Linked DNA regions of Macaca fascicularis. The protein of the gene in region 1 interacts with the protein of each later gene in a pairwise test. Links are inferred from orthologs where the notes say so. Each region holds a gene or a part of one and is shown in the gene's direction. Other genes may lie near its edges. The genes, in order: RABAC1, SNX15, ZFYVE21, MIEF2, SNX10, RAB33A and NIF3L1.

Region 1 (4,132 bases):
CACTGCACTCCAGCTGGAACAACAGAGCGAAACTCCATCTCAAAAATGAAAAAGAAAACCCGATTCCACTAAAAGCCTGGGGGTGACAAAGAGGAAATAAATAGTAACTAGCCAATCTGATCTTCAAAGTGTAACTCTTCCATCTTCAGTGTGGGGCCCTTGCAAAGGGCTTCCCTGCCTATTGCACCACCAGCCCCTTGGACAGGGCCATCTTCCCCCCACCTCCTGGGAACGCCTTCCAGCAGGCTTCCAAGCACAAACCCTGAAGTGCCGTAGATCTTGGAAGACAAGACCTGGGCCTAAAAGAGTCACTTGGGGCCAGGCACAGTGGCTCATGCCTGTAATCCCAGCACATTGGGAGGCTGAGGTGGACGAATCCCAAGGTCAGGAGTTCGAGACCAACCTAGCCAACATGGTGAAACCCCGTCTTTACTAAAAATACAAAAAATTAGCTGGGCATAGTGGTGCACGCCTGTAATCCCAGCTAGTTGGGAGGCTGAGGCAGGAAAATCGCTTGAACTCAGGAGGCAGAGGTTGCAGTGAGCTGAGATTGTGCCATTGTACTCCAGCCTGGGCAACAAGAGTGAGACTCCATCCCAGAAAAACCCACAAAACTTCCCAACCTTTTCTCTTTCCCAATTTCACTCCCTCCTGTCCAAAGGTGTGTGTGTTTGCAGGTGGGGGGGGGGTGGTGGCGGTGCGGAGGTGTCCCTAGTCCCAACTCATTCATCTTTGGGACTCCACAAAGTGGGGCAGGGGGCAACCTCAGATACCCCTCCAGCAACCATGACCCACTCACTAGCCTCAATCTCTTGAGGAAGGAATCAATTCCCACAAACTCTCTAAATCTTTCTACTCAAAATGTGGTCCATGGACCAGCGGCATCAGCATCACCTGGGAACTCAGAAATGCGAATTATGGGCTCCACCCCAGACTTGCTGAATGAGAACATCTGGGGTGGGGCCCAGGAGTCTGTTTTAGCAAGCCCTCTAGTTGTTTTTTTATGCCCTCTAGAGTCAGAACGACAGCTCTGCACGGTCCCCATTGTGCCCTGCCTGGGAGAGTACACAACACCCTCTTCTGCCATTAGAGCTCCCATAACGCCCTCTTTCCTGACAGCGCACCTGCACCCTCCTGAAACTACAGGTCCCACAATGCCCAGAGGTGCGCGCCGTCACTTTCTGGGATTATATCTCCCAAGGTGTCTTGCGAGTCAGACCGCCATCATGGCGCCCACCCTCCCAGCCACCGTCAGGACTACAACTCCCACAATGATCGGCGGCAGAACTACAGTCCCCAGCTGCTCCCGAGCGGCGCCACGTCGACTCCGCTGGGTGGGGCCGGCCTCGGGCGGGGCCGGCGGGGTCTGCAGGGTACCGGGCTGGTTACAGCAGCTCTACCCCTCACGACGCAGACATGGCAGCCCAGAAGGACCAGCAGAAAGATGTCGAGGCGGAAGGGCTGAGCGCCACGTGAGCGAGCCGGCTCTAGGCCCTCGGACCCGAGGCCCGGGAGTCCGGGACCCTGGCCCCCTCCTCCCTCGAGTGCCCGGAGTCCCAGCCCCGAGACGCACAAGCGCTGGCCCCGGTCTCCTCTAATGGGACCCTGGCGTCTGGGCCCCTACCCCCCTCCCCGCCTGCGATTCAGTAATCTGGGGTCCCGGGAGGGAGTCCAAGCCCCCTTAAACCCCTTCTTTTGCGGGGGTCTGAGGCTCCATCCCGGTCCACCACTGACCCGGCCCCACCCCTCGCAGGACCCTGCTGCCGAAGCTGATTCCCTCCGGTGCAGGCCGGGAGTGGCTGGAGCGGCGCCGCGCGACTATCCGGCCGTGGGGCACCTTCGTGGACCAGCAGCGTTTCTCACGGCCCCGCAACCTGGGCGAGCTGTGCCAGCGCCTCGTACGCAACGTGGAGTACTACCAGAGCAACTATGTGTTCGTGTTCTTGGGCCTCATCCTGTACTGCGTGTGAGTGCATCCCGGGCCCTGCACCCGCACTAGCCCCGACCGGGTGGACCCCTCCTCTCACAGCTCAGGCCCCGCCCTTCAGCGCCCGGGCCCTCCTCTCACCACCCAGGCCCCCCTCCTACCGCCCAGGCCCCTCCCCTCACCGCCCAGGCCCCTCCTCTCACCGCCCAGGCCGGCCCCGCCCCCAAGGATTGGCTCTGCTAGACCTACTTTGTCACCAAAGGGCCAGGTCCCTACCCCACCATCACCCTGGCCAGGATGCAGTGTGACTGAATGTCACCTGGCCCTCCCTGGTCTCCAGAATGTAGCTTGCCTCCCGCCGGTGGAGAAGGCCAGGGCTCCCTGGCTGACCAGCCCCAGCTGCCTAACCGCTGCCTCCCTGCACTCCTCCTCCAGGGTGACGTCCCCTATGTTGCTGGTGGCTCTGGCTGTCTTTTTCGGCGCCTGTTACATTCTCTATCTGCGCACCTTGCAGTCCAAGCTTGTGCTTTTTGGTGAGAAACCCCCTGCCCAGATGAATCCTTGGTCCCTCGAATCTTGGTCTTTTGGAATGCAAACCTCAGACCCCAAATCCAAGTCCTTCAAAACCCAAGTCCGCCGAAGCCTAGATGTACACTAGATCTCCCAAACCTGATCCTTTAAAAATCTCAGACACAACCGATGCTCCCATCGAGTCTCAGCCCCCTCAAATTGCTATTCCTCAAACCTAGGCTCCACCTGGCTGCTGTGCCTTAAACCTACTCCTCTTCAAACCACATGACTCCTCCCCTCTCTCCTCCCCTTGCCGCTTTCTGCGGCAAGCATCAGCTGCAGGTGCCCACACTGGACACCAGGTGGCGAACTTACACTGGCCTAGATCTGTTCCCGTTTCTTTTCCTGCTTTCTGGGATGTGACCAGAAAGAACTTGGAACTTGGGGAAGCTGAGGAGTGTGTTTCATGTGGTTCCCAGACTAGTACCAAGGACCACTGGGAGAACAAAATGCCAGGGGAAATTCCCCCCAGGGGAAAATCAAGGTTTGGAGTGGGGTCAGGGAGTTGGGATTGGGCTGTCAGGTAGACCTGAAGGCCAGGCTCTTCAGGGGCCTGCAAGTTATGTGCATGACGGGCTTAGGGGGAGGGAGCGCCTGCAGCACAGGCACCAGAGCATGCAGACCCCATCCCTGAGACTTCTATGGGAAGCGTGAAGTTGGTATTTTTATGTGAAATCATTCACTTTGCCAGCCACAAATCACATCCTTGTAAAACATCTCAAAACAAACACACATCCACAGGTCAGATTTGGCCTTTGGGCCACCAGTTTGAGACCCCTGGTCTGCGTGAGGGTTGCAGCAGGAGAGCCCTAGTCTAGGGAGCAGGAAGCTGGGATCCCAGGAACTTCCTGGAGGATGTGGGGCAGAGGGCAGAGCGTGGGGCTGAGGCAGGCGAGGACGGTGTGCTGTGTTCTGGAGGGCAGTGAGGACACCAGGGGAGCAGGGTGACCCCAGGACCTGGAGGGCCTTGGCATGAGGAGTTTGGATTTGATCCCGAGGACCTGAAGCTTATACAGATTGTTGGGGGGCAGCAGGGGTTACTCTGGGAGAGGGCATGAAGGGTCGGAACAGCGCCCCAATGCCATCTGCTTTCAGGCCGAGAGGTGAGCCCAGCGCATCAGTACGCTCTGGCTGGAGGCATCTCCTTCCCCTTCTTCTGGCTGGCTGGTGCGGGCTCGGCCGTCTTCTGGGTGCTGGGTGAGTACAGGGTCTGAGCAGCTGGGGTGGATGGTGGGGGCCAGGTACAGGAGCATGGCCCTGAGCTGCCGGCTTTCCTGCAGGAGCCACCCTGGTGGTCATCGGCTCCCATGCTGCCTTCCACCAGATTGAGGCTGTGGACGGGGAGGAGCTGCAGATGGAACCCGTGTGAGGTGTCTTCTGGGACCTGCCAGCCTCCCGGGCCAGCTGCCCCGCCCCTGCCTACTCCTTCCTGCACAGCTCTGCTGCTCGGGCCCATAGCGCCGTCCCATCACAAGCCCGGGGAGGGATCCCGCCTTTGAAAATAAAGCTGTTACGGGTGTCATTCAGGAAATACTCCCCTAGCATCTTCTGTGGGTCTCTATGGGTGCAGCTGGGAATACTGTGCAGATCAGGGTTGGGGTGGAACCTGGGGTGTGGGCAAGATGATAAGGTAAA
Region 2 (3,500 bases), on another chromosome or scaffold:
CCTAATTTTTTTACTTTTAGTAGAGACGGGGTTTCACCATGTTGGCCAGGCTGGTCTTGAACTCCTAACCTCAAGTGATCCACCTGCCTTGGCCTCCCAAAATGCTGGGATTATAGGTGTGAGCCACCACGCCTGGCCAAGATGTTCTTTTGTTCTTTTGAAGCAAGGTGAAAGATTGCTGTTGTCAGGTTATGCCAGGCCAGTGGGGAAGTACCACAGAATGGCCACACAGTAACTGGACCAGAGTTAGCCTGCACTGCATAATACCTAGGACAGAGCAGTGAAACTGTGACTCGCACCTGTGATCTCAGCACTTTGGGAAGCCAAGGCAAGGTAATCACTTGAGCTCAGGAGTTCAAGACCAGCCTGGGCAACATGGTAAAACCCCATCTCTACAAAAAATACAAAAATTAGCCAGGCATGGTGGTGTGCACCTATAGTCCCAGCTACTTGGGAGGCTGAGGCAGGAGGGCGGCTTGATCCCAGGTGGCAGAGGTTGCAGTGAGCTGAGATTGTGCCACTGCACACCAGCCTAGATAACAGAGCCAGGCCTTGTCTCAAAAAACAAATGGGGGCTACTTGCTGTGTGACCTTGGGCAAGTCACTTTCCCTCTCTGAGCCTTACTTTTCTCCTCATTAGATCAAAGCCATCAGAAATGTTTTTGTTTCTTGTTAACTACCTAGCTCCCCCTGTGTAGGATGTGATATTCACAAGGGCAGAGACTTGTTCCTCCCCTGTTCACCTTCTGAGTCTAGCATATAGTAGGTGCTCAGTAAACATCTGGCAAATGAATGAATAGGGAAATTGATCCGTCCTGGAAGCCCCTCCCTCACCCCAGGAGGAGCCAGAGAAGATTCCTGGGAGAAGGGGTAGGAGGGCAGTGAGTTGCTCAGAGCATCTCAGGCAGGACCAGGAAAAGTGGCCCTGGGGCAGAAGCCCCTATAGGTCACCGCCACTCTCCCCTGTTCCTTGTCCTGGGGGCTGTAGGCCGATTTGAAGCCTCAGTGATCGAGGAGCGGCGAAAGGGGGCAGAGGACCTGCTTCGCTTCACCGTGCACATACCTGCGCTCAACAACAGCCCCCAGCTCAAGGAGTTCTTCAGGGTATGTGCACCTTCCACCTTACCAGAACTTGGGCCACTTACCCACCCACCAGATTGCACCCCATGACTCCCCATGGCTGATCTTTCTGTCCTGCAGGGTGGGGAGGTGACCCGACCCTCGGAGATGTCCAGGGACCTGCACATCCTGCCACCCCCTCTGATCCCCACCCCGCCCCCTGATGACCCCCGGCTACCCCAGCCGCTCCCTGCAGAAAGGAGGGGCCTTGAGGAATTGGAGGTGCCAGGTACATCAGGGTGGGAGGAGGGAGCCAAGGCTGGAGGGTACAGAGTGGGGAGGGGGCCACACTCACTCCTCAGTGGTCTTAGTGAGAAATGGGCGTGTGTCCAGGTCTATCACTGACTGGCTGAGGAACTTTGGGCAGGTCCTTTTCCTTCTCTGCACTACAGTTTCTTAATCTGTAAAATGGGCATAAACCCTAATAACGGGCTTGTCTATGCCCATGGTTGCTGCAAGGGTTTAGAGAGAGAGTAATTCCATTTTGAAAGCTGAGAAATAAATGCGGGTATTCATGACTCCAATTATCTCTTCCTCAGTGGACCCCCCACCATCCAGCCCTGCCCAGGAGGCCCTGGATCTTCTCTTTAACTGTGAGAGCACCGAGGAAGCGTCTGGTTCCCCTGCCCGAGGCCCCCTCACCGAGGCTGAGCTGGCCCTCTTCGACCCCTTCTCCAAAGAAGGTAATGAGCTGGGTCAGCCGGGAAGGAGCCAGGGCAGGACATCCTTTGGACAGGGAGGAGGGCAGAGCCCCACTAGCCTGCTCAGTGCCTGCGCAGATCTGGGAAAGACGTCCCCTCAGTAGTGCTGCCCTGTGGACCAAGAGCAGCTTCAGTGAGAATGAGCAGCTCCGTGCCAGGGCTCGTGGTGTGGTGTGCTGGATGCACCTGTGCAACAAGTAGCCATGAGGAAGGAAAGGAGGCACTTCCCACGTTGGGGCCATCTCACTGAGAAGGCTTTGGAAAGAGCCGGGTCACACTGCTCTGGGACATTTTAGTTCCTTCGCTGTAAGCTCGTGGTGGGATTTCCTGGCTGGCCAGGGTCTGGCTGCAGATCCTGAAGGCAAGAAGCCTGCTGGTCAATGGAAGTGAGTTCTGAGCTCAAAGAGCAGCTGCAAAGGGAAACCCCTCTGGGGGCCTGGAGCCACTGGCATTTGGGGATGCCGGAGATTGAAGGGCCCCCTGATGGAGGTTAGGGTCCTGGGCACCTTCTTGCTGTGAGATCCTGGGACTCGACAGTCCCAAGCTCTGAGGCACTGGAGTTTTTCATTCTAAAATTCGCCAAGGCCTGGCACATTGGCTCACACCTGTAATCTCAACACTTTGGGAGGCTGAGGCAGGGAGATCCCAGGAATTCAAGACCAGCCTGGACAATATAGCGAGAGCCCATGTCTGTTATTCTTTTTTTTTTTTTCTGAGACAGAGTCTCACTCTGTTGTCCATTCTGGAGTGCAGTGGCGCAATCTCTGCTCACTGCAACCTCCCGGGTTCAAGCGATTCTCTGGCCTCAGCTTCCCGAGTAGCTGGGACTACAGGCACACACCACGGTGCCTGGCTAATTTTGTATTTTTAGTTGAGATGAGATTTCTTCATGTTGGTCAGACTGGTCTCAAAACTCCTGACCCTCAAGTGATCCACCCTCCTCGGCCTCCCAGAGTGCTGAGATTACAGGTATGAGCCAAGTGCCCTGCCTCTCACTTTTCTCGTTCTGCTTCCTCCTGTTCCTGCTACTGCCTCTCCAGGGTTGGGGAGTGGGAAGAAGGAATGGGAGGGAAAGGCAGTGTTGGTGTCACAGGGCTGTTGTGTCTGGCCTCTGGGTGGCAGGCATCCAAGTGCTCTGTCCTTGTGTCAGCTGAGCGCCTGCCTGGGCAGGAGCTTTTCTATTTTCTCTTTTTTTTTTTTCCCTTTCTTTTTTTTCTTTTTCTTTTTCTTTTTTTTTTTTTTTTTTTTTTGAGATAGGGTCTGGCTCTGTCACCACGCTAGAGGGCAGTGGTGTGATCGTGGCTCACTGCAGCCTCTACCTCCTAGGCCCAAGCGATCCCCCCACCTCCGCCTCCCGAATAGCTGGGACAGAACCACAGGCATGCACCATCACGCCCAGCTAAGTTGTTGATTTTTTCTAGAGACAAGCTCTCACTATGTTGCCCAGGCTGGTCTCAAGCTCCTGCACTCAAGTAGTCCTCCCACCTCGGCCTCCTGAAGCGCTGGATTATAGGCATGAGCAACTGTCCAACCAGGATCTTTTCAAGACCCTTCACACGCAGCTCCAGTGAGACTCACTCAGCCCATGGGGAGAGTCCCCGGAGCCTGGAGCTGCAAGGCTTCAGAAAACCCCTGAGATTCTCGAAGTCTCCTATTCTAAGATTATTCCAAGGCTTGGAG
Region 3 (4,040 bases), on another chromosome or scaffold:
GCACTCCAGCCCGGGCGACACAGCGAGACTATTTCAAAAAAAAACAATAAAAATTCATGCCTTGTAATGAGGAATTAAAGGCAGGATGAATAAACATTTTCTTTTTTTCTTTTTTTTTTTTTTTTTGGCTTTTTGAGAACGGGTCTCTGTAGACCAGGCTGGAGTGCAGTAATGTGGTCTTGGCTCACTGCAACCTCCGCCTCCCGGGTCCCGGTTCAAGCAATTCTCCTGTCTCAGTCTCCCAAGCAGCTGGGATTACAGGTACGTGCCATCACGGCCAGCTAATTTTTTGTATTTTTAGTAGAGACGGGGTTTCACCATGTTGGCCAGGCTGGTCTTGAACTCCTGACCTCGTGATTCACCCGCCTCAGCCTCCCAAAGTGCTGGGATACAGGCGTGAGCCACCACGCCCGGCCTAAAAATTTTCTTTCCAAATCAAAGCATTAAAATAACTGTTCAGATCTCTCCCACTTCGATGCCAGGCCAGCGCAGTCCCAGGCGGACGAACGAAGGCATCGAAGGCCGGGGGCGCAGCCGCGGGCCCACCTCGGCCTCCCCTGAGCAGACACCTGCCCGCGCACACCGGGGCCCCCGGAGCCCGCCTTCCCTGCTCTGAGCGCACGCGGCCCTGCCCCGGGAAGGCGCCTGAACGCGACCCGAGCTGTGGCGGGGCACCCAGGGTGAGAGCTGCAGCCCCAGGCCATCCTGCTCCCACCGGCTCCGGCAATGGAGACCCGCGGCCGCCCCCGCCCCTCGACCCTGCCACACCCCTCACGTCCGCGGCCGCCCACGACCTCCGACCCCGCCGCCGCCTGGCACCGCAGCCGGGTTCCGCGGGTCTCACCTACCGCTGGCTCTGCAGTCCTCTTCGCGCCGTCCTGCCCCTCTCGGCTTCCTCCAATAGGCGCCGAGCGCCCTGATAGGGCTACACCAATCAGAGGCGAAACGACGCCGACGTGGCTGACGAACCAACCAATCCAAAGTCTCAATCTTTCTGGGAAGGGCGGAGCGCATCCGGGCCAGCCCTCGCCGCCGATTGGTGACTGACCACAGGGGGGCAGGGGCGGTGCCCTTACGCGGATTGGAGAGGGCCGCGATGGGGCGGAGTTCGAGCTCCGATTAGTCCGCGTTCCGTGGCGGGCTTGGCGATTGGACGCCGGTGCTGTCAGCCGCGCGCGGACCGGGGCGGGGCGGGCGGTGCCCCGGGCTGGGCTAGGGGCCGGGTGCGGGGCCGCGGGCCGAGAGACTGAGGCGGCGTCATGTCCTCCGAGGTGTCCGCGCGCCGCGACGCCAAGAAGCTGGTGCGCTCCCCTAGCGGCCTGCGCATGGTGCCCGAGCACCGCGCCTTCGGAAGCCCGTTCGGCCTGGAGGAGCCGCAGTGGGTCCCGGACAAGGAGGTGGGTGGTCGTCGCCCTGGCCCGCGCCTCCGACCCGCCCCGCCGCCCCGGCCCAGCCAGCGGGCTTCCGGGCTCCTGCGGCGCCCCCTCCGCCTCCGGGCGGCCCCTTCCCCAGCCGGCCCCCGCCCCACTCTCCCCCAGGTTGGCCGCGTCCCCGGGCCGCCGCCTCAGGCTCCTGCGTCCGCGGGGAGGGCGGGAGGCGCGCGGGGTCCAGGTGCGGGGTCCAGGTGCGGGGGTCCCGGGAGGGCAGGAGGCCCTGCACCTGCCCAGGGCGGGCGCCGGGAGGCGGGGTGCGGGGCGCGGGCTGGCCCCGGGCGTGGGTGCGGCCCTGCCCGAGGCCGGTTCGTGCTGGGCTGGCGCGTGTGGACTGCGTCCGGAGAGTCGGGGCTCGCTCCCGAGAAAGTGGAAGGCGGCGCGTGTTCCTCGCAGGCTCGGCAGGGAGGGTGCGTGCTGTCCGCCGAAGCGCTGGAGCCGGGGGCCCCGCAGGGGTCCCGCCCGGGAATCGGGGGAGGCGTCGGTGCCTCGGGCGGGCGGCGGGTTCCGAAGCCATCTCCTGCTCAGAAGCCGGGCCGGGAGGAGGGCCAGGACCCACTCTGCGGGCCTGGCTGCCCCCACTTCCCTTTCGTCTACACCACCCTCCACCTCGGAAGCGAGATCGCAGTCGCCCACTGGACAGTTTGAAGGAGACCGCAGATCTGCACGCGTTTCCCTTAGGCCTAGACACGGCAGGAGTTGCCCAGGCCACTCCTGCAGCAATTGGAGCGGGGGTGGGGGGTCCCTGAGCCAGGCGGTCCCCTGGGCCTCCCGCGGGGTTCCCTGTGACCTGATCGGAGGTGCCTTTGCCTCACACCAGCCCATTGGCCAGCTAGGAAGGCCCTGAGTGCATTTAATCCCACTGCCTGTGCGCTAACAGGTGTGTCCAGTTTCTGTTCTGTGGATTTTAACCACGATAAAAAAAATTGGGAGAGAAAGATAATTTTTGTAATATGACTTTCATGCTTAACACATGTTACAGATTCGTTTAATTCCCTCAGTGAGAGAACTAAGCAGACGTTGGAACTAGGTTCAAGAAGTCAAAGTAGCACTAATTGACTGCGTTCATTGAAGCTTGGTCGGAGGCCTGGTGGGGGGGTGGGCGGCCACAGAGCCTCGGGGACAGGAAGTGTCTCAGCATCTACAGTGTATGCAAGCGTGTCCTGAAGAGTTGAGACCAGTGCTGCTTACCTCTCTCCCCAGTATCGCCACCCTAAGGAGTCTTTTTAGACACTTTCCCCCTAATCATCCGCCTATGACATCTTTTTAAAATTTTACTTTTAAGTTGACAAGTGAAAATTGTATGTATTTATGGTGTAATGAACTCTTAATAGCACAGAAATACTCCACATCTGTATGAACCATATGGAGCACGTGAGAAAGTGTGGCCCAGACGAGGCAGAAGTTTCCAGCAAAGCACAATTTCTTTCTCCCTACTGTACACATGCACTGATCGTACAGTTCTGTTTTTTAGTTGACCACTGTGTTCCCCTCCTTCATTCTCTCTTCCAGAGCCCTTTTGGTATCAGCTGAATTGTTTAGCATTTTCCCCCACCTTTCTTTGTGACCTCTGCTGAGGCACTGTGGAAGTCCCGCGGTGACTTCCGACCGAGTGGAGTTGAAACACTTAAGTCAAGGTGGTACCCCTCGTGGAAAAGAAGATTCCTTCCCATGTTGACGTGGTGGCAGGATGCCTCTCCATTGCCCCCCACCATGTTTGGATGATTAATTGGGATCTGAGCAGCTGAAAAAGGTCCTAGCATTGGGCGGGCTTGGGGGACAGAGAAACCATTCTAGTGAAGATGGACTTTGTCTTTGAGTTTTGTGTTGTGAATTTTATTGGAGCATGGTCTTACAGGCCAGAAGTGACCAAAGACAGTGTTCTGGAGGAACTTAGAACGGGGCAGTGAGGGCTGGAAGATTTGGAATAAAGTCCAGCTTTAGTTGCAATAGCTCGAGGGGACACTACTGTAACAGTCGCCTGGCAGGCATGTGGCGGTGCTGAAGGGGACACTGAGCCACGCTGTGCTGGCTGTGTGCTTGGGGCTGCTAAGGTGATTGTCAGGAGGTGACTCAAATGTGCAGATAACTCGTTGTGGGAAATAGGTTTATTTGTGGTGGTTCGTCACGGGGAGAGGAGAATTTGGTAGAACTTGGCAGGTGGGTAACATTGTCCTTGGCTTGGTGGCCGTGTGCCAATTGGCATCATCGTCATATCTGTAAACGTGTTGATCCATTTTCATTCCGGCTCTGTCCTTAGCCAGGGGAGTCTGAGTCCAGCCCATTGCTCAGCTCCGGAATACCAGGTGCCTGACCTGGGCTGGTTTATCAGTTTGGGCCCATGAGGGTTATCCGTTTAAAATGCTGCAAACCCCCCTGGGGAATGTGTGCCTTTCTCAGAGAGGTGGCCTGCAGCTCTCAGATTCTCAAGGAGCTCTGATGCAGAACCAGTTGAGAATCGTTTCTCCAGTCTGTGCCTCCTCAAGAACCTGTGGGGCAGGGGAGGCAGAGGCGGTGTGTAAAGCTTCGTGCGACACCAGTTTGGATAGAGGTGCTTTGGGGGTGTGAAGGAAGCCTCAGATGATCTCTGGGGCTTGTCTGACTCTGCCA
Region 4 (4,120 bases), on another chromosome or scaffold:
CCCTGACCTCGGAGAGATTCTAAACCCTGGCCCCGGGTCGCAGGGGCCCAGGAAGTGCCTGTACTTGGCTGACCGGTGGTAGTGAGACACCTGGCTCCTCGGGTCCTAGCTCTCCAGCTTCTGGACTTAGTTTCCTCATGTGTTGTTTTTATTTTGTTGAGACAGGGTCTTCTTGCTCTGCCGCCCAGGCTGGAGTGCAGTGGTGTGATCATAGCTCACTGCAGCCTCGAACTCCTGGGCTCAGCCTCCCGATTAGCTGGGACTATAGGCGCAGACCACCACACCTGGCTAAATTTATTTTTGTTTTTTTGTAGACACGAAGGTCTTGCTATGTTGCCCAGGCTGGTCTTGATGTCCTGGCCTCAAGTGATCCTCCGGTCTCAGCTTCTCAGAGTGCTGGGATGACAGGCGTGAGCCACCGCGCCCTACCCAGTTTCCTCATTTGTAAAATGCTTCCTAAGATTGTCACCATAAGTAAATGAACAAAGAATGCACGTGTAGCCTGCAGCATACAGCAGGCGCTCAGTGAGTGGCAGGTTATTATTCCGTTTTGTTTTGTGTGCCAGGTTTATTATTCCCACTTAGTGTCAGCACCCCTGTGCTCGTGCCCCCCTACAAAGGGAGGGTCCAGAAGAGAAGCATCTGTCTTGGTCCCTGCTGTTCACAGGGGGCTCGCCCTGGCTGACACATAGCAGGACCCCGATAAATGAGCCACAGCTGTTATATGCCCAGCCATGCTTCGTAGGGGAGGAGGGGGTCTAGTGTCCCCATTTTACAGGAGAAAAACAGGCCCAGGTGGAGAATGGCCCACATAAGCTCGCACGGAGCAGGTGGCAGGGGTAGGCACTTTCGCCACACTGTGCCTCGCAGGCCCACAGTTAAGAACGAGGCCACCAAGACACTCTCTCGCAGAGGTGATCTAACAGGTTGGATGTGCCGGGCCTCTAGCCATGTGCAGCCTCTCTACCTGGCTCCTGGAAGGAACGGGGGCCCAGACAGCTTTTTCCACACCGGAGGCTCACATTACAACGCACAGACTTCCCGGAGGGCTGCCTGTCACATCACCTGGTCGCAGGCTCGGAATGCAGCCCTGCACCTTTAAATTCGGACTGCGTCAGGGAGTCCCGCCCCGAAGGGAGCGCGTCTGTCGGCTGGGGGGCGGGGCCTACCCTTCATTGGCTGAACTGCGCAGTATTTTGGCACCTGTGCTCCGAACTCGAGCGCTCCGATTGGACTTAGGGCCTGCTTGTCTGCGTGCTGCGAAGTCCGCGGCCGCCCCCGGGGGCCCTCGACGTCGGGTTCCAGGGTCCTTCACGTTCCAGTCTCAGGCTGGTTCGAGCTCAGGGACCGTGGTCCCGCGGCCTCCTCCGGTTGTTGTGCGGAAGCTGCGACGCAGGTACAGCTGGAGCGCGGCGGGGCGGCCCCCAGGGTCACCGGGCTCAGGGCTTGGCGCGCGACTGAACGCTGATCGGAGGCGTGGCCCGCGGTCACGGCTGGGGAAGGCGGGGAGGGGACCTTTGGGGGACCAAGGGCCGCGTTCGAATCCCAGCCCAGCCCCCTTCCCCTCTCGGTCTCTTAGTTTCCCTGCGAACGGGGCGTCACCCGCCCACCTAGGGCTGCTGCTGCGGGCTGCACCGCCCGGGCCCACGGCAGGCGCGTTTGGCAGAGGAGGGAAGGCCAGACGGCCTCCAGGGCCTCGTTGGGCAAACTCGGGTTATTTTCAGCCACCCGTGCCCTCTCCCGCTTCCCGGAGCTGGAAGGCTGTGGGCTGAGGCCTGAGCGACCCCGCCAGTGGTGGGGCTGAGTCCCAATTTAGACAGGTTGGGAGTATTTAAAGCGCTTTACAGTTTGCAAAGTAGATTCCTGGTCTCTCTGGGGGTGGGTGGCAGTATTGATTCCCGAGTCACGGATGAGGAGACTGAAACCGGCCTTGGGGCCGTGGCGGGTCACCTGGTTGGCCTGGGATCTCCCCACAGACCGTCTTATTTTTAGTCTGGGGCGAATAGGCGGGTGTACGGGGCTGAGTCACACAGCGCTTCGGGCTTTAGCTACTCCAGGCATCTGGTCACCTGGCAACTGGGCCCCTGGCACGACACTCTGGCAGGGCAGGTGGAAGTCCTTGGTGCCCGGGCAGGCTGTGACCTCATGGTCATCTGCTCAGGCCTCCCTGGGAGAGTTCTGCTTAGTGTCTAACTGATGTTCGAAGGTCACAGCCCAGCTCATCTCCCAGGGCCTGAGGGCAGTGTCACCCTCGCAGAACGTGAGGAATGTGGACTGGGTCCTAGATCTTTGCCTCCACTTCCCAAGTGCTGGGCCCCACCCAGCCACACACTTCAAGCCTGCCCACATCTGCCTCTCACTGCTGCGTATGCCATCTTACAGGTGAGCAAACGGGCTGGGCCCAGGCCCTCACCTTCCTTTCTCTGTTGCTTGGCCTCCCTGCAGCTGAGAAGCATCACCCACCACTACCTACACATTGTCCCAAGACTGAGAGGCCCAGAGAGCCCTCTGTACAGAGGCACTGGGCAGCCCTTTCTGCCCTGCCAAAGGGGCTTCAACCCTGAGAAGCACATCTGCATTGGCCTGCCCGGGCAGCTCGGGCCGTGTCACTCTGCCTGTGCTCTGACTCGGTAGCTCTGCCTCTTGGGGCTACCCTGTCAAGATTTGGAGGGTAACTGGTTCCAGTGGTCCCCCAGACTGGCTGGGGCCCCAAATTGTTTGTCTTCTCTGGACTTTGGGCTCTTCTGAAGAGGCTATCATAGAGGGCTGCCGTGCCCTCTGGTTAGGGACTTTCAGATAAGGCTGCTGCTGAGGACCTGGCCACCTGGCACAGGGAGAATCTGTCAGACTCTGTGAGTGATGAGAGTCTGGAGGCCTTGCAGTCGTGGGTTGGAGACCTCACCACTCACTTGTGAGCTGGCAGCCTGTGGCTCTGTAACATAGGGATGGAGATGATGACACCCTGGTGATGTCAGAGGTCCTGGAGGGTGGGCTCCAGGGAGAGCGGCCCCTTCCTCTACCTGCACAAGCCTCAGGGCCTTTGCGAGCTTCTTTCCAGGGAGTGGGTTGTTTGCAGCTTTGGGGGAAGGGGCTTGGCAGCTCCCTCATCTCCTCGTGAGAGATGGGGGATTGGGGCCCCAAAACCCAAGTTCATATCTCATCCCTGCCCTTTCTTAGGTACTTTACATGGTTTCCCAGGACCTTGGTGTCCTCCCCTGTGGATGGGTGGCCCCTTTCTCTTGAGAAATTCTCAGAAAACCCCCCTCATGGGCTGAGCTCTCTTACCCAGCATAAGGACAGCCAGAGCACCTGCCCACAGCAGCCCCTCTCTCAGCCTGGCCACCTGCACCTGAGCTGCCCCTTCACCCCTGGCTCTCTTACAGGCAGACCATGGCAGAGTTCTCCCAGAAACGGGGGAAGCGGCGTGGCGACGAGGGGCTGGGCAGCATGGTGGACTTCCTCCTGGCCAATGCCCGCCTGGTGCTGGGCGTGGGCGGGGCTGCTGTGCTGGGCATTGCCACCCTGGCCGTGAAGCGGGTAAGGCCAGGTGGGTGGGTCATGCCTGAGGCTCCTGCAGGAGGACAACAGGGTTGGGCTTTTCAGAGGGGCCCTGGGGAGGGGTGGGGACTGCCCAAGGCCTTGCAAGACTGCACCTGCTTCTCCACCCTGCACCCTGGTCTCCTTTGCCCCTGGGCTTTGCTACGGCTGCCCAGACTTCATATACACTGATCTCTGTGACTCTGCCTGTAGTTCATTGACAGGGCCACTAGCCCACGGGACGAGGATGACACCAAGGGAGACAGCTGGAAGGAACTGAGCCTGCTCAAGGCCACACCACACCTGCAGCCCCGGCCTCCACCTGCTGCCCTCAGCCAGCCAGTGTTGCCCTTGGCCCCCTCGCCCTCTGCCCCAGGTGAGTGGCACTCCTTCCCCTCTGTTGGTGTCACATTCGAGAGACGCAGCCCAGGCTTTGCCCTGACTGACTGTGCGGCCCTGTGCGAGTCCCTGCTTCTCTCTGGGTTGCGGGCTCCTCAGACATTTAATGGGGGTGGGGTTTCTTTGTCCTGCTCCTGGAGCAAAGTGGCAGCGTTGTGATAGTGGGGAGCTTTAGATGGGGAAA
Region 5 (2,629 bases), on another chromosome or scaffold:
CTCCTCAGCCACATCTTTCTCCCTCTTTGGAACTGTGAGCTGGGTGAGCCTGGCTCCTTCTCTTTTCATCTGTGTGTCCTCCAGATGGCAGTATTGAGCAGAAAAAGAAAACACTGGGAAATAATGAGTCTAATGTACAGTAAAATTGGAAATTGAATTATAGCTCAAGAAAAAGGACAGTAGCCTTGAGGTCCCAATCAACCTGGACTCTGATCACTTTTGTTTGCTGTACCCATGTGTTAAGTTACTAGCAAGTTAATAACAACACGTGAGCGGTTCAAGGCTCAGTAGAATTGCTTCAGACATGAAATAAAGCTAAAATGAATTTGTGTCCAGTATCATTGGCATTAGTGCTCATTACTTTTGTGGTGTGATGCCTCAAACCATCTAAAATCAATTTTAAAGATTACCCATTATTTTATAAAGAAAATAAAACACATTTCTAACAGAAACAAAGCTGTGAGTACAATCCCATGAACAGTTCCTTGTACTGACGGCAGGCAGGAAACCGCTGACAGAGGCCACAGGAAACAGTCTGCTCACTTCGCAGACTTCACGATCCAAGTTCATATTAATGGATTGTTGTCTGTAACTCTTCTCTTAATCTGAAGTATTTAAAACCAGAACGGTAAACATTTGTAAATGTAGAAAATAAATCTCAAAGAGTACAGAGGGATTTACTACTTAGCTACTTGTACTTGGTGAATTAATCATTATCATGTGACATGGTCATCTTCTGGGAGGACCCAGGAGTGAGGACACAGGGAAAAGGAAGGATTTAGCTGTTTTGCTTGAGGTTTTGCCTTTTGAAAAGCACAAAGGTTTTACTTTTCCTTCTAATAGACCAGTAAAGAATATTTTCTCAAACTGTAAACCTGCTGAAGCAAAGGGGACAGCTAGATTTTGGTTTTAATACTGTGCATTTTTAGGCATTTTTGCCTTTGTTGAGAAATAATTTATTTTGTAGAAAAGGACTTATTATAATGGCCTTGGATTTTCACTAAACTGATATTAATGGCCAAAAGAGATTTACTTTCCTTATTACTTGTTTAAACAAGCAGAATATAAGGTAAGGTTCATTTGGTCTGAAATACATGATCTATTTTTCACAGATCGTTATACTGGAAATATCTTATGTTGAACAAAACTCTACTTGGTTTTAGTGTTTTAGTTTTGTCCCCTATATCCGGTCTTAGTGTCTCCTCTTACATAACTATTGAACTATTATTCGTAGAGACTAAATTATCATATGTCAACATCTTTGCTAAAAGATAAATCAGTTTTTATTTAAATATAAAGGTATACTTTGATTTGATTTCATATTCTAAGATGTGCATTTCAGAGAAAACACATTCACTGATATGAATTTGAGCATCTATAGATTTTGCTACAGGATAGTTTTTAATCTTCCATGTAGTCCTGATGCCCTGGTTGAAATCTGTTCTGTCTTTGTAAACTTTGATCTTGAATGTGGGAAGAGCAGTATGTACTCATCACAACCTTATCATATTTTAATTATATATATGGTAAAGTTGGCTGGGATCAATTTTATTTGGTTGCTCATTTTGACAACACACAGATTCAGTGCTCCTAAAGATTTTGGAGAAATTTATAGTTAACCTTAAGTATTAAAAAAAAAGCCATCTCTCTCATGAGCTGTTGTAAACATGCACTTAAGTATATAACTATACTTGTAAAGTTTTAAAATGTAAAATATGCTGAGAATTGTATCGACTTCTTCATACAATTTTTAATAGTAGTTGAAAGTTTTGATGTTTCATGACAGCCTATCTCATAAAGATCACTGAGTTGACATGCTGTTGGCAGTAAATTTTTTAAAGTAGAATAAATTTCTATGACTATTTAAGCAAAATATTTCCATAATTAATCCACATGGTAATAACAGATGGGTAAATTGAAGAAATGTCCTTGAAGTTATTCTTTTAACAGATGTTCTTAACTATTAGCTTCATGTTTTTACCCACCTAAATTTCCAAATAATTGAATAAAAGTTAACATATGCTTTCCTCCCCTTAATGGGCAGAGCCCCATAATTGATACAAAGTTTACCACAGGAGAGAAATTACCTTCAGTGGTACATTTTCTAATGTTTTTCTTTCTTCTACCCTATCACTGACCATCTTGTTCACCAATTATTTTTCCTTTTTTTCTATTTTAATACAGAGTCCTACAGAATGCACTTTTGCTTTCAGATAGCAGCCTTCACCTCTTCTTACAGAGCCATCTGAATTCAGAAGACATTGAGGCGTGTGTTTCTGGGCAGACTAAGTATTCTGTGGAAGAAGCAATTCACAAGTTTGCCTTGATGAACAGACGTTTCCCTGAAGAAGATGAAGAAGGAAAAAAAGAAAATGATATAGATTATGATTCAGAAAGGTATTTCCTTGCATTTTGATTTAATGTATATGTATTTATGTAACACATAGTGCACATATGCATGTGTATAGATATATATACACACTTCACTTTTTTGTTGATGTAATACTAAGATAATGAAAAAATTAATTGACTGAGATTTTATTGAGCTGTGACAGCTCATCATAGTAGTCTTCACACACACCTCCACACTGAATTAATGAATGCAGTAGAAATTCAATTATTTGCATTC
Region 6 (4,169 bases), on another chromosome or scaffold:
AAGATGTGTGTGATGATTAGTAAGCTTTGGGAAGCAGCCCCCTAATATTGTAAGGAGATTGTGTTCATTTATCATCTTCCAAGCATAATCTAGGCTTCTGGCAAATTAGACTCAACCACTTTGTTCTACATTCAGCTGCAGGGGGAGTGAACCCTCCTAGGGATTCCCAACTCCCTCTGAAACTCCACCCTTCTGGAAGGACTTACGGTTATATGGAGGGCTTGGGAGTGGAAGGCACTGTGGAGCTTATGCCATGTCCCAAGATCCTCCACCTGGGCCAGTAATGGCTAGCCCCATAAACAAAGTCCCCTTTTGCTGGAACTGCCACCACTAGCTTCCCCCCTTCTCCTAGCCTCTGTGTGGCCCTCTCCCGCGGCGAGCCTTCCCCATTGGCCAGCCAAACACAACCGACTGCGGCAGCCAATAGGAGCCGCTCTCCTGAACATTCAGAGGATGGGTGCTCGTGGTGTGATGAGGGGATGTTGGCGCCTGGTACGCGCCCCCCTACATCTGGCAAGTCTGTGACAGAAACAGTAACACCCCCTACACACGCACACGCGCGCCCGCTGGCTCCCTCCTCTCAACTGTGCAGGCCCGGGACAACCCACTGCGTGTCTTGGCAGCGCCCTCTCAGGCTGCCTGGGGCCCGTGAGTGCACCTGCTCACTCAATAAGACAGAACATCCCTTTATCCCAAGGCGCGGGTCGGGTAGAGGGTGGGGGTAGAGGGGACGGGGTAGCGGGGACCGGGAAGGCGCGGCTCAGCTGCCGGCTGCTCCCGAAGTGAAAGAGGTGCCTTAGCCCCCACCCCATCCCTGCAGAGTTGTGTTGCTCCAGGGAGGCCGAAGTGATCCAGTGATGCCTTAGGGTGCAGCTCTTTGTCCTCCCCAGCTGTGCTCCCTGCCCGCTGATCCCGTGCGCTCCGAGCCAGTGGGGGTGGGGAGCCCGAAACTTATAATATAAATGGGGGCAAGGAGAAAGAAGTCTATCCCGGGGTGGCGTGTGCTGCTGTCCCCACCCCCTCCCTTTCCTCCTGAGGCTTCTTCCCTCCGGTCGGTCTCGGGGGTGCAGGCAGGGGAGAGTGTGGGCCGAGGCGCGGCGGCGGCTGGAGCAGCGCCGTAGGGTCCTTCGCCAGAGCATCCGGTCCGAGGGCGCACACAGGCAGAAGGCTCGCCGCTCGTCCACTCTCCTCCCTCTCTCCTCCTCTCCCTGGCTTTTGTGTTGGTGCCTCCGAGCTGCAAGGAGGGTGCGCTGGAGGAGGAGGAGGGGGGCCCGGAATGAGAGGCACCCTCTTCACGCGCGCGCGCACACGGTGCCGGCGCACGCACACACGGGCGGACACACACACACGCGCGCACACACACGCGCACAGAGCTCGCTCGCCTCGAGCGCACGAACGTGGACGTTCTCTTTGTGTGGAGCCCTCGAGGGGGGTTGGGGCCCCGGTTCGGTCCGGGGGAGATGGCGCAGCCCATCCTGGGCCATGGGAGCCTGGAGCCCGCCTCGGCCGCTGGCCTGGCGTCCCTGGAGCTTGACTCGTCGCTGGACCAGTACGTGCAGATTCGCATCTTCAAAATCATCGTGATTGGGGACTCCAACGTGGGCAAGACCTGCCTAACCTTCCGCTTCTGCGGGGGTACCTTCCCAGACAAGACTGAAGCCACCATCGGCGTGGACTTCAGGGAGAAGACCGTGGAAATCGAGGGCGAGAAGATCAAGGTGATCCCGGGGGTCAGGTCCAGGAAGGGAGGGACCTGGGAGGGGACCTCGCCCGAGGCATAGCTGTAGCGGTTGTCATCGTCCAGCGTCCCAGCGCGTGGCGGTTTCGCCTCTTGCTGAGCCGAGGACCCTCGGCCCCTCCTCACCCCTTTTCACCTCTCTCAGCGGGGTCCCGTCCCCATATCACTCAGTTTTTTAGGGCGGTCGAGAATGGTTGCATTCTTACCCTTTGCTCCTGCCTGACAGGTCCTGCCAGGAAAAGCATGTTGGATCCCATCCTTGACCCCTAGCCCGAGCAGCGGCACCTGTGGGCAGAGGGAGGCAGGAGGCATCTCTGGGTCCTAGTCTGTGGGATGGATCCCAAAGCACTTTACACATCCTGATGTCTCTTCTACCGCTTGGGTGCCGATAGGCTGCAAAACCCCACTTCAGCTAAGCCTCAAGTCATTAGAGGGAAGGAAAGGATGGAAATCCATGGAGAATGAAAAAGCTGCTTTATTTTAAATTGCAGTTTATAGTTAAGATTAGGGCTGAGTTGAGATGGGGGTGGAGTGAGGTGGTTCTGGCAGAAAGCCATGAGCCCTTTTAAAGAAATTGAGGCAGGGTCACCAGCCAGCCCTTTGTAATCAACAAAACTTGTTTTTTATTGTAACAGGCCCCCTGGAATGGTATTTTCTTTACTTGTCTGGGGTATCTAATACATGAACTGCTCCTTATTCATTCTGTTGGTATTGTCTTCAGAAGGTCTTTGTAAAAATGCAGTGACTTAACCGAGGGCCAGGGAAATGCTCAATCCTCCCCCCTCCATGAGTTTATGTAATAGGCTAAGTGCAAATATTCTTGTCTGACCATTTGTGCTCACCTTTAATTCAGAAAAGGTAGAAACCTGATATGACACGAATATGTCAATGTGCAGGGCATGGAGGGAGGGAGGACATAACAAGGGCAACTTCCTGTGTCAGGGGAGCAGAGGGGGGCCTCTATAAAGGCAATGGAATCACTGAAGACAACTCCTCTAGGCTCACAGCTGGCCTTTCCTTGAGCGTATGGTTGGACCCTAGACAGAGTCAGGGGTAACAGTAAGCCTCCTTCTTGCTGGTCAAACGGCCAAAGTGACCACAAGGCCCCTCCTCTGAGTGACGTGGAGAGAAGGGCTGAGTAACTGATGAAACACTTGAAACTGTGCAAGACTCTGACTCCTTGATTATTAAAATGAACATGTTCTAAAAATGGCTTCAGAAACTGGGCCAACGCACTAGATGTCAGGAAGATGGACAGCTCAGTACTGATAAGGGAGAGCCCCAGGGTCAGGAAGATAGAACATTATTTTGAAATTGTGATCTTTTTTGCCCCTTGCATTTTGAAGGGGAATTGCTACATTTCCTTTTAAAGTCAAAGGCAGCATCTTGTCTTTGTCCTTTCCTGGGGCTGTTGACATTTGCTTGGTTAAGACTTCCTCTAGTGTGTCTGGCTTCTTTAATGTAAGGCTATACGATTCTAGAATTTCTAAAACATGCCTTTGTAATCCAAAGTAGAAATATCTTTACGGATGGGCTCTTAAACCCTCAAAAACCTAATGCTCTCATTTGCTTAAAATCAAGTGTTACAGTAAGCCAAAGAGTTCCCTGGATTTAAAAGGTGGGAAATAAGCCCATCTGAAATTTAAATGGAAAAAAATGAAGTGTTTGGGAATCTAAAGAAGGAGGGAGGAGGAAGCTAGAAAGTGAGGGATGGGAGATGAACACGAGTGGAAGAGTCACCACCCAGTGGTCTCGGAGGAATTTTTAAACCATTCCTTCTCTTCTAACACCCCAGTACTTAGCCAAACTGGACTTTACAGTCTCTGGCAAAGATTCCAGACTTTTTCCCAGAGGGCAGAGCCTGTGACAGTGTGACTCACTAGAAACAGAACTCAGCACAACACCACGTGCAGATAAGTGCTTAATACAGGCTTTTTTTGGGAAGATGATATTTTCAAGAGGACAAAGCCTTGTGACACTGCTCATGGAGGAGTCCTCTGAGGGCAGATTCTGAAGGAGCTCAGAGCAGCGTGTGAGAGTGGGGAGATGGTGACCCTGCTTCTTGTAAAGCTGCTGCAGTCTCAGGACCAGAGCTGGCAGGTGAGAGACCAGCATGTCTGTGGGAAGATGGCAGGGCCTGGCAGCTAGCACGTGATCTAGATAGGAGAAGATTTGGCCTCACACTCTGGCTAGCCTGAAGTTGTTCAAGGAATACATGCCAAAGCCATGCTTGGAGATGACTGCCAAGGGCTTTGCCCTTTGGGAGAGAGAGAAAAGTCCGGTGTGACAGTCCGAGGTCTGGCCTAGACCATGGCCAGCAATAGAAGGCTTTTGGGCTGTAACATACCAGCCCTTGCAGGAGAGTGGTAGAGAGGTCTCAGCCAGTTCTTCTCAGTCTAAGAGCAACGGTGTGGCCTCTTTTGGGCTGCCT
Region 7 (4,118 bases), on another chromosome or scaffold:
TCTTTCCAGTACCACTCCCAATCACATACGACATAATTTATCCTAAACGCAATGTTAACACAATCAATTTGGGAATGGTAAGAACCACCTTCTTTTCAGAAATCCTTCGAACAAAATCGAAAATCTCTAACCTAACAACTTGAAAACGACATTATATAGAAATTCATCAACTGCCGTTCTTTCTTCCAAGTGGAACCCCTCTGCGTCTTTGGCTACAATTTTTTTTTTTTTTTTTAAAGCCTGTCAAATTTAGCTGTAGGGGTTGTATACTAATTTTTGTGACACTAGTAACTACTAAGTTATAATAACCCATTACCATTGGACCAGCCTGAGTACAATTTCTAAAGCCCTCCAACCGGGTCGGGGGCCGTGGCTTATGCCTGTAACCCCAGCACTTTGGGAGGCTGAAGCAGGATGATTGCTTGAGCCCAGGAATTCGAGGTCAGCCAGAGCAACATAGCGAGACCCTGACTCTACAAAAAATAAAAAATTAACCGGGGGGTGGTAGCGCGCGCCTGTAGTCCCAACTACTCAGGAGGCTGAGGTGGGAAGATCACCTGAGCCCGGATTTCAAGGCTGCAGTGAGCCCTCATTGCACCACTTGCACTCCGGCCTGGGCGACAGGGGCGAGACCTTCTCCCCCCACCCCAAAAAAAAGGGAGGCGGGGCGCGGTGGCTCACCCCTGTAATCCCAGCACTTTGGGAGGCCGAGGCGGATGGATCACCTGAGGTCAAGAGTTTGAGGCCAGTCTAATACGATGAAACTCCGTCTCTACTAAAAATACAAACATTAACCGGACGTGGTGGCGCGGGCCTGCAATCCCAGATACTCGAGAGGCTGAGGCAGCAGGAGAATCGCTTGAACCCGCGAGGCGGAGGCTGCAGTGACCCGAGATCGCGCCACTACACTCTAGCCTGCGCGACAGAGCGACACTCCAAGAAACAAAAGCTCCAACTGCTAACCCAAGAGGAGTACGCTGAAACGCCATCGCATAAAATGCTCGGTCACCAGACTTTTGTCACAACGCTCCTTCAAATACACCCCGGCATTTCTCTTTCCTTAGGTTCCCAAGTCTCGTTTTTGTTAACACCACTGAGGACAAAGCCACTCGCGACGTTTACGCCGACCCTTTAACCACTAGACATTAACTGTAACCCCCTACGGGTTCCGTCTCTTCCTCCACTTGCTCCAGACGACATTTCCCCACAGCTGCGTGCTTCAAGCACATTCCGGAACCCCAGCAAACCCCACCCCCAACAGGGAGCCTCGCCTTTCCGGCCACAGTGCCAAGGCCGGCCTCCGCCCAGCCGCCATCTTACAGCTCGGCCGAGGCGGCCCACAACATGGCGCCCACCCGACCCTCCCACGTCAGGCGGCGCCGCTCCCTCAGCGGAGGGCGAACACTCCAAGAGGGCGGCCGGCCTAGCAAACACCGTAACTACTCCCGCAGGCCGGATCCGGCGGCGACGGGCTCGGCCGCGCAGGAAAGAGGGGCGCGCCGCCATTATGCAGCCTGGGAGTGAAGGGAGCAGGCAGTCGTCGCGCCAGGGACGGCGGGCAGCAAACAAGCGGGAAGTGGTGGCATCGCCAGGCGCCCGCGAGGCTCACAGGAACGGCCCTGTCACCTAGTCCGCTCCCTCCTGCGTCTTACCGTCCTGGACAAAGACTCCAAGTCGAAGGAGACAAAGCTTGTAACGCAATCACGGGAATCACCCAGCTGACTGCGACGAGCACCGACAACAAAATGGAGCTGACAGCTGCTGCGTCGGGACTCGCCTCGAAAACACCGATGACGCAACGAGCGCGTCTCCGCCGCGGGGCGGGGCATGCACGGGGCGAGCAGGCGGAAGGGGCGGGCGTCCGGAGCGTTGGCGGACGCGTGACCACGGTGGGCGCAGGCGCCGGGGCGGGAGCCAGAGGTGGGTGATGAAAGGAAGTTGTAGATGCTTGCTGTGTTGTCTCTAATCTCCCGATACCGAGAAAACATTGCAGTTTTAGGGGAGAGTGTCGTCCCCACTCACTGAAAATTGTTTTTGAACGCTAGAACAAGGAATAACTTGTGAACAAGGAAAAGTGAGGGACTCAGGATACACAATAGCACGTGCCCTGATTGCGACCACTAAAACAATTACTTTAAAAATAATACTTCACGGCGCGATGTGTCTGGCGCGTAACCCTAGCACTTTGGGAGGCCGAGGAGAGCGAATCGCTTGAGCCCAGGATTTCGAGACCAGCCTGGGCAGCATAGGGAGACCCCTGTCTCTAAAAAATAAGTAAATGTTATACCACTAGCGTCAGATGGCTTCAGATTACTAATGGGATCAGTGAACGTGTCAGCTCAGTGTGAGCCAACAGAAATCAATGTTCTGCACCTTGATCCTCATGGTGCCTGCATTAGGCCCACCGTGGGTAGCCAGCGTACCTCCTATGATGCTTTTATGGCTGTAACTTGAGTACACATTCTAAGAATAAAACTCCTTGATAAGTTTTTGAAGGGAAGGCCAGCGTTAAAGAAACAGAGTGGCGGCTCTACAGCAAATGCAGGCTTTATGTCCAGCCTAAGATCTACAGAAGTGGGGGACCAGCCTAATGCCGGTGCCCACCAGTGGGATACTTTTAGGTAAGGGCGGGAGGGGCCTGGGCCATAACGCTTACTGGCTTGCTGCCCTGCAGGATGTTAAGATGTTCCCATAACGAGGCGGTTCTGGCCCTTGTTCCCGCGGAATGTGGTGGTGGTGGGTTTTTTTGTTTTGTTTTTTGTTTTTGTTTTGAGATGGAGCCTTGCTCTGTCACCCAGGCTGGAGTGCAGTGGTGCGATCTCCGCTCACGGCAACCTCCGCCTCCTGAGTTCAAGCGATTCTCCTGTCTCAGCTTCCCCGGTAGCTGGGACTGCAGGCGCGCGCCACCACGACCCGCTAATTTTTGTATTTTTAGTAGAGACGGGGTTTTGCCATGTTGGCCAGGCTGGTCTGGAATTCCTGACCTCAGGTGACCCACCCGCCTCGGCCTCCCAAAGTGCTGGGATTACAGGGGTGAGCCACCATGCCCCTGCAGGAATGCGGTGTTCTTCGCACTTTCTCACAGCAGAATATGACAGAGGTGTTTCTTTAGTGGTGCGTTTGTCCGTTTTGTGGTCAGGTGGTTGGGCAGGATGTTTCTCACAGCCCGAACCCCCGTGGAATGTTTCACTTTGACCAAGGTCTGCAAAATAGCCTGTGGGGGAGACGGGGCAGGGCCGGGGGAACGGGGGAGGGCGGGGGGCAGGGATTTACAAAATGGTGCAGTTTGGACTAACACTCTTAAAACCAAAAAATAACCATATTTGCACCACTGATTAAAAGTGGCAGAGTTTAGAATAAAACCTGGAGGAGGTCGGGTGCGGTGGCTCACGCCTGTAATCCCAGCACTATGGGAGGCCAAGGTGGGTGGATCACGAGGTCAGGAGTTCAAGACCAGCCTGGCCAAGATGATGAAACCCCATCTCTATTAGAAATACAAAAAATTAGCCGGGCGTGGTGGCAAGCTCCTGTAATCCCAGCTATTCGGGAGGGTGGGGCAGAATTGTTTCAACTTGGGAGGTGGAGGTTGCAGTGAGCCGAGATCTACCACTGCACTACAGCCTGGGCAACAGAGCAAGACTCCGTCTCAAAAAAAAAATAAGTGGAGCCTGCGAGTCCTGACATCACTTACCAGGAGCCACAGGGAACCCAGCTGGCACAGCAGCAGCAGCCTTGCTTCTATGAGATCAAACAGTTTCTGGAGTGTGCCCAGAACCAGGGTGACATCAAGCTCTGTGAGGGTTTCAATGAGGTGCTGAAACAGTGCCGACTTGCAAACGGATTGGCCTAATCAAGAAGTTCAACCTGGAGAGATGGAAAATCAGCTCTCATACCTTAAGTTAATTTAGTGTAAAAATAGAATTGATAGTGAAGGTATAAAGTGTAACCATCAGTTAAACCTCTCCTGTCATTCCTAGCTTCCTTACTTCAGAACTGAAATGGAAGGGGGTGTGTTCCTACTCTGTAGAATTTGGGACTGGGCAAAATGTGTTACCTCCTTAAACTAGCTGTTATGATTTTATTCTTTGTGAGTTAATTAGAATAAAGTCATTTTCTTC

What was found.
Region 2: the proteins of RABAC1 (region 1) and SNX15 interact in binary tests that used the Homo sapiens proteins (3 or more experiments, as listed by UniProt). The two-hybrid records come from large-scale screens. The link is inferred for Macaca fascicularis from reciprocal best matches to the Homo sapiens genes RABAC1 and SNX15.
Region 3: the proteins of RABAC1 (region 1) and ZFYVE21 interact in binary tests that used the Homo sapiens proteins (3 or more experiments, as listed by UniProt). The two-hybrid records come from large-scale screens. The link is inferred for Macaca fascicularis from reciprocal best matches to the Homo sapiens genes RABAC1 and ZFYVE21.
Region 4: the proteins of RABAC1 (region 1) and MIEF2 interact in binary tests that used the Homo sapiens proteins (3 or more experiments, as listed by UniProt). The two-hybrid records come from large-scale screens. The link is inferred for Macaca fascicularis from reciprocal best matches to the Homo sapiens genes RABAC1 and MIEF2.
Region 5: the proteins of RABAC1 (region 1) and SNX10 interact in binary tests that used the Homo sapiens proteins (3 or more experiments, as listed by UniProt). The two-hybrid records come from large-scale screens. The link is inferred for Macaca fascicularis from reciprocal best matches to the Homo sapiens genes RABAC1 and SNX10.
Region 6: the proteins of RABAC1 (region 1) and RAB33A interact in binary tests that used the Homo sapiens proteins (3 or more experiments, as listed by UniProt). The two-hybrid records come from large-scale screens. The link is inferred for Macaca fascicularis from reciprocal best matches to the Homo sapiens genes RABAC1 and RAB33A.
Region 7: the proteins of RABAC1 (region 1) and NIF3L1 interact in binary tests that used the Homo sapiens proteins (3 or more experiments, as listed by UniProt). The two-hybrid records come from large-scale screens. The link is inferred for Macaca fascicularis from reciprocal best matches to the Homo sapiens genes RABAC1 and NIF3L1.

Annotation. Positions count from the first base shown.
Region 1 is NC_088393.1:48,998,616-49,002,747, reverse strand, and holds RABAC1 (prenylated Rab acceptor protein 1), read left to right. Parts: upstream 1-1,332; 5' UTR 1,333-1,416; coding exon 1,417-1,472; intron 1,473-1,753; coding exon 1,754-1,966; intron 1,967-2,362; coding exon 2,363-2,460; intron 2,461-3,592; coding exon 3,593-3,694; intron 3,695-3,777; coding exon 3,778-3,866; 3' UTR 3,867-4,028; downstream 4,029-4,132. UniProt on the Homo sapiens protein: General Rab protein regulator required for vesicle formation from the Golgi complex. May control vesicle docking and fusion by mediating the action of Rab GTPases to the SNARE complexes.
Region 2 is NC_088388.1:9,339,897-9,343,396, reverse strand, and holds part of SNX15 (sorting nexin-15), read left to right. Parts: intron 1-988; coding exon 989-1,104; intron 1,105-1,200; coding exon 1,201-1,348; intron 1,349-1,658; coding exon 1,659-1,802; intron 1,803-3,241; exon of another isoform or gene 3,242-3,500. UniProt on the Homo sapiens protein: May be involved in several stages of intracellular trafficking. Overexpression of SNX15 disrupts the normal trafficking of proteins from the plasma membrane to recycling endosomes or the TGN.
Region 3 is NC_088381.1:171,891,718-171,895,757, forward strand, and holds the start of ZFYVE21 (zinc finger FYVE domain-containing protein 21), read left to right. Parts: upstream 1-1,240; 5' UTR 1,241-1,259; coding exon 1,260-1,397; intron 1,398-4,040. UniProt on the Homo sapiens protein: Plays a role in cell adhesion, and thereby in cell motility which requires repeated formation and disassembly of focal adhesions.
Region 4 is NC_088390.1:18,388,743-18,392,862, forward strand, and holds the start of MIEF2 (mitochondrial dynamics protein MID49), read left to right. Parts: upstream 1-1,320; 5' UTR 1,321-1,396; intron 1,397-2,161; 5' UTR 2,162-2,368; coding exon 2,369-2,382; intron 2,383-3,383; coding exon 3,384-3,537; intron 3,538-3,750; coding exon 3,751-3,913; intron 3,914-4,120. UniProt on the Homo sapiens protein: Mitochondrial outer membrane protein involved in the regulation of mitochondrial organization.
Region 5 is NC_088377.1:103,912,161-103,914,789, reverse strand, and holds part of SNX10 (sorting nexin-10), read left to right. Parts: intron 1-2,184; coding exon 2,185-2,397; intron 2,398-2,629. UniProt on the Homo sapiens protein: Probable phosphoinositide-binding protein involved in protein sorting and membrane trafficking in endosomes. Plays a role in cilium biogenesis through regulation of the transport and the localization of proteins to the cilium.
Region 6 is NC_088395.1:136,439,261-136,443,429, forward strand, and holds the start of RAB33A (ras-related protein Rab-33A), read left to right. Parts: upstream 1-1,369; 5' UTR 1,370-1,460; coding exon 1,461-1,718; intron 1,719-4,169.
Region 7 is NC_088386.1:96,632,252-96,636,369, forward strand, and holds the start of NIF3L1 (NIF3-like protein 1), read left to right. Parts: upstream 1-1,318; 5' UTR 1,319-1,920; intron 1,921-4,118. UniProt on the Homo sapiens protein: May function as a transcriptional corepressor through its interaction with COPS2, negatively regulating the expression of genes involved in neuronal differentiation.